Linked DNA regions of Arabidopsis thaliana. The protein of the gene in region 2 interacts with the protein of the main gene of each other region in a pairwise test. Each region holds a gene or a part of one and is shown on either strand. Other genes may lie near its edges.

Region 1 (3,171 bases), 5.3 Mb from region 2:
TTAGGCCTAACAGAAAACTGAACGTATGGGACAATTAAAACATTTCATACTAATATAATATTGACTGCAACAGTTGTTATTGATACTGATTATAGTATATCTTTAGGTAATCAAAGCTTTTCAACGGACTCATGCTCACTATAATATGGAATAAACCTGTACTTTTGAGGCGGCCATAGTACGAATTGGTACGTGCACGTCAGCTCGTGTGTATATATTATGGGTTATATGTGTCTACATAATGGACTTTCATCAAATAATTTTGTTTTTAATAAACCATAGGAGTTTCAGGTTTTTGGTCTATAATCTTACCTATTTTTCGGAGTTAGTCTTATTCCAATTTAACGAATACCACAACGAAAACCGAAGACGAAGCACAAGGTAACCACCCTTTTTTCTAAGTTTTTATAAGATAACATTTTTTTTTCTTGGATTGAGTTTTTTCCTTGGTTTATATTTATTTCTCGTATAAACCATATGATACTATCTGACTGACAAGGAACCAAAACATTACATATATATTGAAAATTTGAATTAATCATATTGGTATTTATGACATCATCATTGTTAAGAGATTACAAATTGAACCCAAGAAAAACAGTAAGGGTCGAAAATTTATTATACTTTACTGAATATAATCGAAAAACCTTGGTTGATGATATGACATTATTAAAAAAAAAATCAAATGGTTAAGCAATTAAGCGAACGTATATCAATTATTAGAATTCCATATGGACTGAAATTGCTGCATTTCAAAAAACTCATCCCTATCGTGCTGACCAAAAAATTGTCCGTATAATTCTTCGTAGTCAGCAACTTCCAAATCCTGCATCCACCCCATCCTCGGCGAGTCTAATGGAGACTCATTAATCGCTTGAATCTGATCCGGAGACAATCCTACTCGAGAAAGTCCTTGACCAGACTCGAGAGCTGGTTCACTCAACCTACCTGGTTTAAACATAAGTGCTGCATCTTGTGCAGCCGCTTGAATGTGCTCCGAACTAGAGCTTTCCGGCCGAGGAAAACTGTCGACGAGTTCCGGAAAGTTGAGATTGGTCCCACGTCCTCGGAGGTGAAGAGCCGCAGCATCGTAGGCCGCTGCAGCCATCTCGGCCGTCTCGTAGCTTCCAAGCCAAATCCTTGTTTTCTTACCGGGTTCTCGGATCTCCGATACCCATTTGCCCCATTTCCTCCGACGAATGCCTCTGTAGGACAACTGGTTAACGTTGAAGCGGTAATCTCGTTGGCCAACGTAAGTGTTTTCCATAATTAATACAAGGTTATTTTAGTAGCACTATATTGTGTGTGTGTGTGTTTGTGAGTGTATATAGAACTGTGCGAATTAGTTTAGAAGTTTTGAGTTATAGAGTCAGTGGTTAAGTGAAATTGTATATATAGAGAAATAAAGAAGACAATAAATGAGGGAATAGAATTTGTGGATGGCTTGTTTGGTTTCAGGTGAAGTGAGCTTCCTACGTAGTTACTTGTGAAGTGGAAATATGCTGTCATGCATGCATGGGTCTCTATTACTTACATGGATATTGTACATTAGCAAAGCTGTCTTTAAGCGTGTACAAATAGTGTGTTGTGTGTATTTGAAAGAAAACGCTGATTGAATATTATTTTTTTGATTGAAGACAAGTTTGATATTTATATGATTTGGGTTCTAAATTTTTTTAGAAATATTTTTTTACACATCAAATATGTTTTCAGTAAAAACTTTGTACATGCCTTCCAAGAAAATTGACATGGCCTTGATAAATATATTTCATATTTGGTATATTCTGGGCCTTAGTTAGATTATAGATATTTAACTTGATCAAAAAGTTCAAAATATTTAAACTTTTCAACTAGGAAATAGATTTCATAGTTCATACTGAGATAAATTAGTGTTTCATATAAAAGATCAATTATTTTAAGTCAAAGTAGTATATTGTGTTTTGTTGTTGTAAGACCAAATGAAAAGAAAAGCAATTAGTCCTTTATATCATGTGTTGGTTAGAACTTTAGGTTCTCGTACAAAAGTCCATATATGCCATATCTCAAGAGTCTTGACAGCAAATATGATAGTAACATTATGTAACTGCCCATAGAGTCATAGACAATTAAGTTGACCAAAATAATGAATTGTTCATAACGAAGAATTGGGGAAAGAAACCCATCTAAATTAACCAAAATTTGATTTTATGAAATTCTAAAACCCGACCAGCAGAAGATCGATGCTCTGTCTCCAAATAATTTCTTGATGTGTAGTAAAACCTCATGAGCCAAATTCCAACCCTAAATAGTTAAATGGCTGCATAATGGTCACCACCGCCACTAAGGCACTAACAACCACACCGTATCGAATTGTGGAAATCCGTACGGTCCATCCGGTGGTCAAAAAAATACTTTCAGTCTTAATCTCACCGCCCATTATATATTGTTGCTTATCTACAAGATTTGGATCCTACATAAGAACTCAACAAGTATAACAAAGTTTTGCTTTCCAGTCTATTTTTTGAACTTATACGTTCCTTGGTTCAAGAACTCATGTGTGTAATTTAATATTATTTGCAAAGAAACATAATTAAGAATTGAATAGTTTAACGTATATAAACATGAATTAAGAATTGAATAGTATAACGTATATAAACATGAATTATGATATTATTTCATTCTTTTGGTCAACTTTCCTTGTCGTTGTGGGTAGTGAAAGTTATAAAAAAAACTTCTATGCAAAATAAATTAAAATAGTAAAAACTAATTGAAACCCCAGGAATTAAAATTTAATGGAAAAATATGTGCATAGAGCAAATTAACAATCATCAATAATAATGGAAAGAGAAATGTAGATGAATTTTTCGGCAAGGAGCCAAGTCTTCAAAGCGGAAGAGGATGGAAGAACAAAGATGTGATGAGATCTTTGAGCTTGCCATTGGGATTGGTGAAATTATCACCCTCCTCGTAATACAGATTGACCAATCGTACAATGTTGAAGCACCGGACCAGAATCGGACGTGACACACTTTTTATCGTCAAGAACTCTTCCATCATTATCTTGTAATTATCTCTAATCATCTTCTTAATTTCTCGAACCGCCAATTCCTTGGTAACATTATGTTGCTTAACGTAACAGTTCACCCCATTAACCACTTCTCCTCTCCTCATCTCCTCCTCGAAGCCGGCTAT
Region 2 (3,029 bases):
TTCATCTCCAAAACGAGTTTGATAATGCATGATTTCGGTTAGACTATTCCCTTTACAATGCATGAATTTTCGATGATTTTTGAAGCCTTAGTCCATTGGTCTCGGATCGCCATGTCATTTGTCGTAGATTGCTAACTGATGTTGCCGGTAAAGTATTTTTGAATATATCCTCTAACGTTTCGTTGTCGAGTTGATTAATGTAGATATTTTTCATGGGTCTTCGGCTGAAAAACAGCTCAGTACGGAAAGTTGGTGCTCCAGCTAAAATTCCATGGAGTTAAATAGGGTCTCTAGATTTGCACTGAACTTGTTTTAGGGTTTTCGATTGCATGGTCGAATCACAGATCCATCCAACACCTCTGGTGTATCGGGTGAGGAATCTTCTAGTTGGATGTGGGTCCATCCAACACATCTTGTGCATCACATGAGGAATCTTCTAATTCGATATCCACATCAATTTATTTGACCTTTTGTAACACCCTGGTTTCACAAAATATGGTGGTGCATGCAGAGAAGTTTTAAAAATTTGATTTGACCACCTATATCATCAAATTGCACTTATTTTCAGTCAAACATCTGAAAAGAACTTCATAATTAAGCGTGCTTAAGTTAGAAAAATTACAGGGAATGACCTTCCAAGAAGTGATTGTCGCAACTGTATATGAGCGAGGATAAAACACGAGAAAATATAATGTGGTGATATGTAGGATCGGTAAACAAGCCTTTAAAGCCTCGTAAACGTAATGGATCGGCTATCGGGTAAGAGTGAGCCCGTGAGCCGAGAGAGGACGTGGGGTCACTAAGAAAGATGGAGGTCGGGGAGTTACAAACGGTATCAGAGCCAAACCCAGACGAATGTGGAGTTAAGAGGGTTAACAAAGTCGATTGTGACGGTCTTGATGCGCAACCAGGACGATACGATCTGCTAGAGGGATGAATTGTAACACTTTAGTTTCATGAAATATGGTGATGCATGTAGAAATGTTTAAAAGAATTGATTTTGACACCTATGTCTTTTGATGGGTGAATTTAGGAGAAGTGATTATTGTCGGATCCGTGTGAGTGAAAACAAAACATGAAATAATAAAATAAAAAACTCCTTTTAATTTAGAAAAAGTTGTTACCAAGTTTCATCAGTTTTTTATTTTCATTTTATTGATATGTCGTGGCTAGTGCGCATGTTTGACGCGTGTGAGTTTGCATTTTAAAATAAAATTTGTATATATGGAATGATATGTAGAGATACTAAATCTAATTTATAATTATTACAAAATTTGTATTTTTCCTAAATATTTTCTAATGAAAGATAAGCATTACAAAATTTATACTTTCTTCAGAAAATATATCTTAAGAATTTGTTTGGAATACCAACTCTTGACTATTATGATAAATTTGTGTAGTCAGAGTTATAAAGATATTTATGGTAGTAGTTAAAAGATAAATATATTTAAAAGGTAAATTCAAATATTTTAATAAAAAAAGGATAACAAAGATAAAAAATTATAATTAATGCGTTAAACCTACTTGAACCAATCCATCTATAAAATGGAGTAGAGTAGTAACAAAAACAACACCAACAACAAAAACATCTCTCTAAAACTAAGAAATGGGTCGTAGAAAAATAGAGATAAAATTTATTGAAGATAGCATCGAAAGGAAAGCGACGTTTTCAAGACGCCGAAATGGCATTTTTAAGAAGGCTGATGAACTCGCGAAGTTGTGTAATGTAGAGATTGCTGTCTTGGTCATCTCCCCCACTAATATACCATACACATACGGTTATCCATGCTTCAACGATGTGGTTGAGCGTATTCAAAATCCTAGTGCTTCGTCCAAACTCAGGAGTCTCATGAAAGAATTGGAACAAATCAAAGAGTTTCAGGAGGTATGTTTCCCATCATTAATATAATCTCATCCGTTAGTTTTCCTTCTTCTTCGTTCTCAACATATAGATTACAAAGATGGGTTTGCTATTATACACAGAATTAAATAATCATTATTTATTTTATATTATATAATATTTTTTTTGTCAATTTTAGGATTTGAGGAAGAAACAGCAAAGAAACCTTGAAAAGTCCAATATGAAAGAGAATGTAGATCTGAAATTGGAGGACTTAGTTGCTTTCAAGGCGAAACTCGAGGCCTATCAAGCAGGTTTAAAGAGGAAACATGTAGAGATGGAGGATTTGTCTTCTCCATCGATACTCTCAAAGAATACAAAGAATAAGATGATGAGGACCGAGTATTCGTCTGGACAGAGCAAAGGAATGTATGAGTTTCGGGCTTTCGGCCCAGGATTTCTTGGAACTATTTAGAACAATCGTCAAAATAAATATAAATATATAATTATTTATATCATATAAATCAATTACCGTTTATTTTTCTTTCCAAAAGTTTAAGGAATAAATTTTGGTTGCTTTAGTTTGAAGGAAGTTGTGTCCTCCATCTTGTTATCTTTTCAATCGGATTTTCGTAATGAAATGTTTTTTATATATAAATAATATACAATATATGTGATAATTTTGGAAAATATGTCAAAAAAATGTGAACTTTCAAATTTAGAACAAAAAAACATGAATTTTCGAAATGTCACTTAAATACCAAAGTTATTGTTGACTTTAGAATTAAATAGATAACTTTCGTTGATTTTGCCATTTCGGGTAAAACGTTACGTCAACTGACGAAAAAAATAACAGAATTAAGTCTTTTTTTTGTCATAAGATATTATTTAAGACTTAAACGAGCCAAAATTACGGGAAATTAACAGAATTAAGTCTTCGGTTATAAATTCTGTTAACTTATAAAACAACGTCGTTTCAATTTCTTTTTTTTTTTACAAGTTGAGGAATTGAACCCGCAACCTGTGAGATATAACAACTTTCCTTTACCGACTTAGCTCGCAGTTATTTATATGTTCTCAGAAACATACATATTTCTATAGGTTATAACAAAATGCCCAAATTAATAAAAATTTAGGGTTTCGATCCCCTTTTTCACAGTCTTCCCAATTTTAAAAGTTCTTTCCAAGA
Region 3 (3,494 bases), on a different chromosome or scaffold from region 2:
CAGGAAACAATGGAACTCTGTTTAATTCAGGAGTTATGGTGATCGAGCCTTGCAACTGTACGTTTCAGCTTCTGATGGAACATATAAACGAGATTGAGTCTTATAACGGTGGAGATCAAGGTTACTTAAACGAGGTATTCACATGGTGGCACCGGATTCCAAAACATATGAATTTCTTGAAGCATTTTTGGATTGGCGATGAAGATGACGCGAAACGCAAGAAAACAGAGCTTTTTGGAGCAGAGCCTCCTGTTCTTTATGTTCTTCATTACCTTGGGATGAAGCCGTGGTTATGTTACCGTGACTACGACTGTAACTTCAACTCCGACATATTCGTTGAGTTTGCTACCGATATCGCTCATCGAAAATGGTGGATGGTCCACGACGCCATGCCACAGGTGATTCACTCTCTCCTAAAAACCTTAATAGAACTCAAAAATCACATAATATTTTCAATCTCATATTGTGATCAATATTCAAAATATTATTAGGCGTTTAGTCATGCGTTGAGAGACTAACTGCATAGCATTATTTCTTTCTCAAAAATTTCCAAAACTTGAAAAAATAAATAAACTAAAAATTACTTACTACCCAAGTTTAGAATAACCATATGAAATTTGAATATACGAAAATCTTGGTGGGTTAGTAAATGCAGAATTAGCCCCCTACGCAGTAGGCATCAAGTTTTAATGTCTATGTTTTATACACCTTATAAAAAAATCATTTCAAATTTTCTTTCTTTATGATTAGTTTAAAAAAACATTGGTTGGCAGAAATATAAAAATAGTTAGACGTTTTCCCAAATTATTCTAAAATTGTGACGGTTAGTAATTACCATATATGATATTTTGCAGGAACTTCACCAATTCTGTTACTTGCGATCCAAGCAAAAGGCACAGCTGGAATATGATCGCCGGCAAGCAGAGGCCGCAAATTATGCCGACGGTCATTGGAAAATAAGAGTAAAGGACCCGAGATTCAAAATTTGCATCGACAAATTATGTAATTGGAAAAGTATGCTGCGGCATTGGGGCGAATCAAATTGGACTGACTACGAGTCTTTTGTTCCCACCCCACCAGCCATTACCGTAGACCGGAGATCATCACTTCCCGGCCATAACTTGTGACGCAATAATTATACATACTTATTAATGGATTTCATGAGTTTTTTGGTTTGAATTGTTGCTGCGAGATTAGGTGAATATCAGTTGTGTAACTATATCTTTTTCCTATAGTTTGTTCAAATTGAATAAAACATTTTTTTGCAGTTTAACCACAAAATAAAACATATGTCGTATTTATATGCCATTTTTGTATACAAACACAAACTCAAAAATGTTAGTAACATTCAAATAGTTTATACAGAAACGATAGATTATAGACTTACATATAGCCAAACAACACAAATTAATTGATGTAACTAAACATATGTAGTATAATTAAACTTTCGAAAAATCCAAATTTTTAGTCGAATCGCAGTGTAGTATGTATACATTACGTATAGTATATAAATCTATGTGTGTGTATATCAGTGTATGTATTTGTGTATGTATGTACATGTGAAAAGAATCTCTACTAAAGATTTCCATAATATTCAACCAAAAACCAAAGTTTTCCTTATTAGTAAAACTACACCTTCGTTAAACATATAAATTGATTCTATGAGAAAAAAGTATATTAAAAAAGGCAATGAAATCTTCACCGCTTTCATTATTGATTCGTCATTAATTACCGAGCGAGACCAAAAATAGAAATTCTCGAACTAAGGGTTTTATATATTCGCAAACAATGATCACCACCTCTTCATTCAATTCACAGAGAATATACACAACCATGGCTTCTTCTTCGTCCTCTTCTCTTTCGTTTTCAACATCGAAGAAGAACAAAACCTTTTTCAAGAAACCTAATTCTGCTTTTTCTTCTTCGAGGGCCACAAGTTTGATCAAAAGACAACAGACTGTCTTTAAGAAAGCTAAAGAGCTTTCAATTCTCTGTGACATCGATGTCTGCGTCATCTGTTACGGATCAAACGGAGAGCTTAAGACATGGCCTGAAGAGAGAGAGAAGGTCAAAGCCATAGCTCGAAGGTACGGTGAATTAAGCGAGACGAAGCGTCGCAAAGGAAGCGTTGATCTTCACGAGTTCCTCGAGAAGATGAACAAGGATGATCCCGAGAAGGAGGAGAAGAAGAAGATTAAAGTGAGACGTGTACCCAAAGTCAAGTATCCAGTTTGGGACCCTAGGTTTGACAATTACTCTGTGGAGCAACTCATGGGACTGGTTCAGTCCTTGGAACGAAACCTAACCAGGATCCAACATAGGACTTGCGCTGTTGTTGAAGCTCAGGGGCAGAGGAGGGTACAGTACACGAACATGGCTAATCAAGAACTGATGATGGCTAATACGATGAATCAACTTCAACAACACTCAAACCAGGTTTCCATGTATCTGTGGAACCATGGAAACGGTGCTTTCTCACAAATCCCAGTCTCAGCATTGGCTTCAAACCAAACGCAATCTCTAGCTCCGATTCCGCCTGAACTGATGATTTACCCGAATTCGGATGCGGGAAATTACTCGGGGTCTCTCGGGGTACAAGGAACTGGGATCAATGGGCTTCAGAACATGAACATGTTAACCTATAACAACATCAACAGCGTTAATGATTTCTCAAAACAGTTTGACCAGAATTCCAGAGCGGAAAGTTACTCTAGCTTACTTGGGGTACACGAAGACGGAAACAATGAGTTTGAGAACCCTAACATGTCCAGCCGCAACAACTTCAATGTTCAAGACTGTGCAGGGTTACTTGGGATGCAAGGAGCTGGAACTAACGGGTTGCAGAGCATGAACATGCATGACTACAGTAACAACAACAGCATTAACTCTAATGGTCTTTCGCATCAGTATGTTCAATTTCCAACGTACAACAGCCAACATCAGGACCGGGTTTTCAATTTGGATCAAAACGGAAACAATACTAGGTCTCTCTAAGATCTATCACAATCTCTCTTATAGCTTCATAATTTTTGGTTTTTAATATCTCCTAGTTATATAACTAAGAAGCATATATATTTATAACTTTTGGTTAGTGCAATTATCAGTTTGAGACAGTATATCGATCTCCAAGTTTTCGATTATGTCTACTTTTATTTATTAGTGTAATGTGACTAAAAGACTAATAATGTCTCCCATGCTAGTGACTCTTTTCTTATACTACTTCTTTTTTTTGTTATCCTGAGATTCTTTTGTTTGTTATATTTATTGCTGAGAATTAAGACTAGTAATGTCTCCCATGTTAGTGACACTTTTCCTATACTTCCTCTTTTGTTATTCTGAGATTTTTTTTGGTTTGTTATACTTATTGCCGAGAATTTGATTATACGATTAATGTTTGATGAATAAAAAAACCCTAGGCAAGCTTTTAAGTTTTAAGACGGGTAAAGTAAAACACAATCAGAAATTACTTAAGCTAAAAAAATACTTTAGCAGCT
Region 4 (3,217 bases), on a different chromosome or scaffold from region 2:
AGGAGTTAATGCATAAAAGTTAATGGCTACGTTATCTTTTACACAAAGTAATGTTTATGCGTGTATTTATAATGGGGTCTTGTTGGTTTGTTTTAATTTATTAATCTTTGGAGGACTTTAATAATCAAATTTTCACGACGTTTATGTAAGAAATGAAGCCCTAGCTCTGAAGAGATCAACCATTTGATTAATTTTAACCCGATTTTACGCAATAAATTAAGAAACGAATGCAATAAATTCTTAATACTAAGATCAACAATTAGTTTATAACTTTATATTTTACCCGATTTTACGCTTTATATATCGTCATGAAATCTCTCATGTTTGACTAAGGGGTATTTTTTATACCATGGACTTTTTGCTCAAAACCTCAGTTACAAATAGAAATAAAAACTCTTACAATTGATGGAAAACAATCTATAGGGAGTTTATTTATTTATTGACTGCAATCAAATATACTATCAAATAAAGAAAATTGGATTATGAAATGAATCTAAAGGGATACTTCAGCAACAGATCCCACATAACATAATCCAATAAGAACGTTCAGAGATATACACAACAAATAAGAATGTTAACTTTCATGATCGCAAAACAAATCTTAATACTTTACCATTCAAGTAATATATTTAATGAGGCATAAACAATTTATATTTCTTTGTGATTGCCAATCACAATGTCGTTTTATATGATTGGTACATTTCATCTAACAAAGAAACGAGTCTATTTGTGAGTTGAAAATTCGTGATTTGTGGTTCACTATTGGATCGTCGTTATCAATCTGACATTAATTGTACCCTATTATATATATTGTTGTGTCTATAATAAGGCAAGCTGGTTACTACATTTGTCGACTTCCACATTCCCAATTATTGTGTATTTTCTTGACTAGCTAATACATATATAACAAGAATTAATCTTCCACAATATGAATTGTGATGCGTTTACAGTGGTAATTTTGCAATAAACAGAGTGAGTATATATATACCCTTCGAACATTTAGTTTTAATTATTTGAAGAGTGTTTTTATGTTAGTTATTTTTCACAACATTCTGATTGGAGAAACAATTTATAGATTTTTGAAAACCCTTAATTAACAACTATAACGTAAAAAAAAATTTGAAAAAAAAAGAAAAAAAAAAAGATAGAAGAAACCTAGAAATAAAATGAGTTGAAATCTTTCTTCAATTTTTTGAAAACCCTTAATTAACAATTAAGAGTTTTTTTCTTAGAGACAGATTTTCCTTTTTCCTCCAAGTTTTTGTTGCACAATTAATAATTACACAATCAAATCTATAGTATTTTTTTAATTAGATCTTAATTTTGTACAGCCTAAAATAAAGTACCATCGAGAAACTAATTAAAAGTTTCCTTTTTTTTTGGTCTCTACCATCGAGACATTAATTAAGGAAATCTACATTAGATATTGGAAATCGAATCGAATCGTAGGAGCGTAGATCTTCACGCCTCGCGATTAACAACGACGCGTCGCGTTTGCTTGTTCCCGTAGGCACCAAGGCATCTATATAAACATATTGAGTTCACAATGTTTCACCCTCAATTCGACAATACTTCTTCTTCGTGTGTTCTCTCTCTCGGAAAAAACCCTAGTTTCTTGCCGAATCAAGGCAAAGTCACGATGAAGCAAGCTTCTTCTTCTTCTTCGTCACGTAATTCAACAAGTTTAACAAATAGACTTAAAACCATCTTCAAGAAAGCTGAAGAGCTTTCGATTCTCTGTGCTATTGAGGTTTGCGTCATCTATTACGGACCAGACGGTGAACTGAGAACATGGCCTAAGGAGAGAGAGACAGTGAAAGACATGGCTTTGAGGTATAAAGAGGCCAGAAAACGCAAGAAGAGCCGCAATCTTCATGAGTTCCTCGAGAAGGAGAAGGACAAGGACAAGGGGAAGACGAATTTGAAGAAGAATTGGTATCCAAACTTTGATCATTACTCTCCTCAACAACTCTCTCAATTGATTCAGTCCTTAGAACGGACTCTTTCTACTCTGCAAGAAAGGCTTCGTATTGTTGAGGCGCAGAAACTACAGAACACAAACTTGGTGCATCAGAGTTTAACACCATCGTATCTGAACCAGACCCAACACTTGAATCCTAGCAAGTTCTCGCTGTTTATGTACAACCATGGAGATGCTACTCTCTCACAACTCCCACTGTCTGCTCCACACTCCAATCAACTCATCAATTACCAGAATCACTTGATGCAGCATGGTTTTGGTCAGAACATGTGTTCGGACAACATCACCAACAACAACTTTGAACATCCTGGCGTGTCAAACACACAAGACTACTCACCGTTACTTTCGGTACAAGCATCTGCAGTGAATAACTACGGGTTGAATAATCACTTGATGCAGCAACAGGATCAGCTTCATGGTTTTGATCAGAACATGTGTATGGTGAGTGAAATCATCAACAACAACAACGGTCTACAACATCCTAATCTCTCAAACACGGTTCCACATGAATTCTCTTCTGATTTCAACCAGAACCCTTATGGTAATGCGGTCGGTAACATTAGCTTCTCTCAAGACATGTTTTCAAGCTATGATGCGAGCAGTCTGCTACAGACATCTTCTCTGCCACCTCTCCACAACATTCCTAGCAGTTATTGTTTTCCTGGCAACTCAAGACTTCTCTGATAACAAAATCTGTCCAAAAGAATTTGTTTTTTTGAAGCTTCATTAAGAGTCAGTCAATAGTTAAGTAGCAAGCGGATCGGAGAGAGATTGAAGCTGTTTCTGCTTCCGATTTCTTCTGTTACTGTTTTTTTTAATATTTTATAGTGTCATTATAACTGCAAAACAAATCCATTTGTTTTTTTTTTTTGTTAAGAAAACAAATCCATTTGTGGAGATTTTGTTTTTACTTTTAAGTTGATACTTTTTTCAGTTAGTATTGACATATATATATGAACTTCCATAAAAAATCTTTCACAAAAACTTGCATGAAACAAATTATAATCTTAAAACCTTAATTCTTGCAACTTAGTATCCTTCTTGTCTGAATCAACTAATATATACAAGGAGATGGAGAGTGGATCTGAGTTCGTGAAGCCTCTAGACTTTTTGCAGAAGAAGAATCTCTGTGTAGTTTCTGAGTAATGGTATGAGGAAGAAGATAAAGATTGAGCTGATTGAATATCTGCAATTAAACTAGCCCTTGTGTTTTATCAAGAAAGTCGATATCACATT

Evidence for each region.
Region 1: the proteins of AGL102 (region 2) and AT1G33760 interact in a two-hybrid assay, tested with the Arabidopsis thaliana proteins (one large-scale study listed by BioGRID).
Region 3: the proteins of AGL102 (region 2) and AGL103 interact in a two-hybrid assay, tested with the Arabidopsis thaliana proteins (one large-scale study listed by BioGRID).
Region 4: the proteins of AGL102 (region 2) and AGL78 interact in a two-hybrid assay, tested with the Arabidopsis thaliana proteins (one large-scale study listed by BioGRID).

Annotation. Positions count from the first base shown.
Region 1 is NC_003070.9:12,236,040-12,239,210, reverse strand, and holds AT1G33760 (Integrase-type DNA-binding superfamily protein), read right to left. Parts: upstream 1,665-3,171; 5' UTR 1,268-1,664; coding exon 713-1,267; 3' UTR 501-712; downstream 1-500. Other genes in the region: AT1G33750 (Terpenoid cyclases/Protein prenyltransferases superfamily protein), read right to left, coding at 2,863-3,171.
Region 2 is NC_003070.9:17,570,845-17,573,873, forward strand, and holds AGL102 (AGAMOUS-like 102), read left to right. Parts: upstream 1-1,569; 5' UTR 1,570-1,606; coding exon 1,607-1,885; intron 1,886-2,039; coding exon 2,040-2,315; 3' UTR 2,316-2,529; downstream 2,530-3,029.
Region 3 is NC_003074.8:6,416,844-6,420,337, reverse strand, and holds AGL103 (AGAMOUS-like 103), read left to right. Parts: upstream 1-1,833; coding exon 1,834-2,994; downstream 2,995-3,494. Other genes in the region: PGSIP1 (plant glycogenin-like starch initiation protein 1), read left to right, coding at 1-398, 855-1,127. UniProt on the Arabidopsis thaliana protein: Probable transcription factor that may function in the maintenance of the proper function of the central cell in pollen tube attraction.
Region 4 is NC_003076.8:26,108,687-26,111,903, forward strand, and holds AGL78 (AGAMOUS-like 78), read left to right. Parts: upstream 1-1,639; coding exon 1,640-2,665; 3' UTR 2,666-2,717; downstream 2,718-3,217.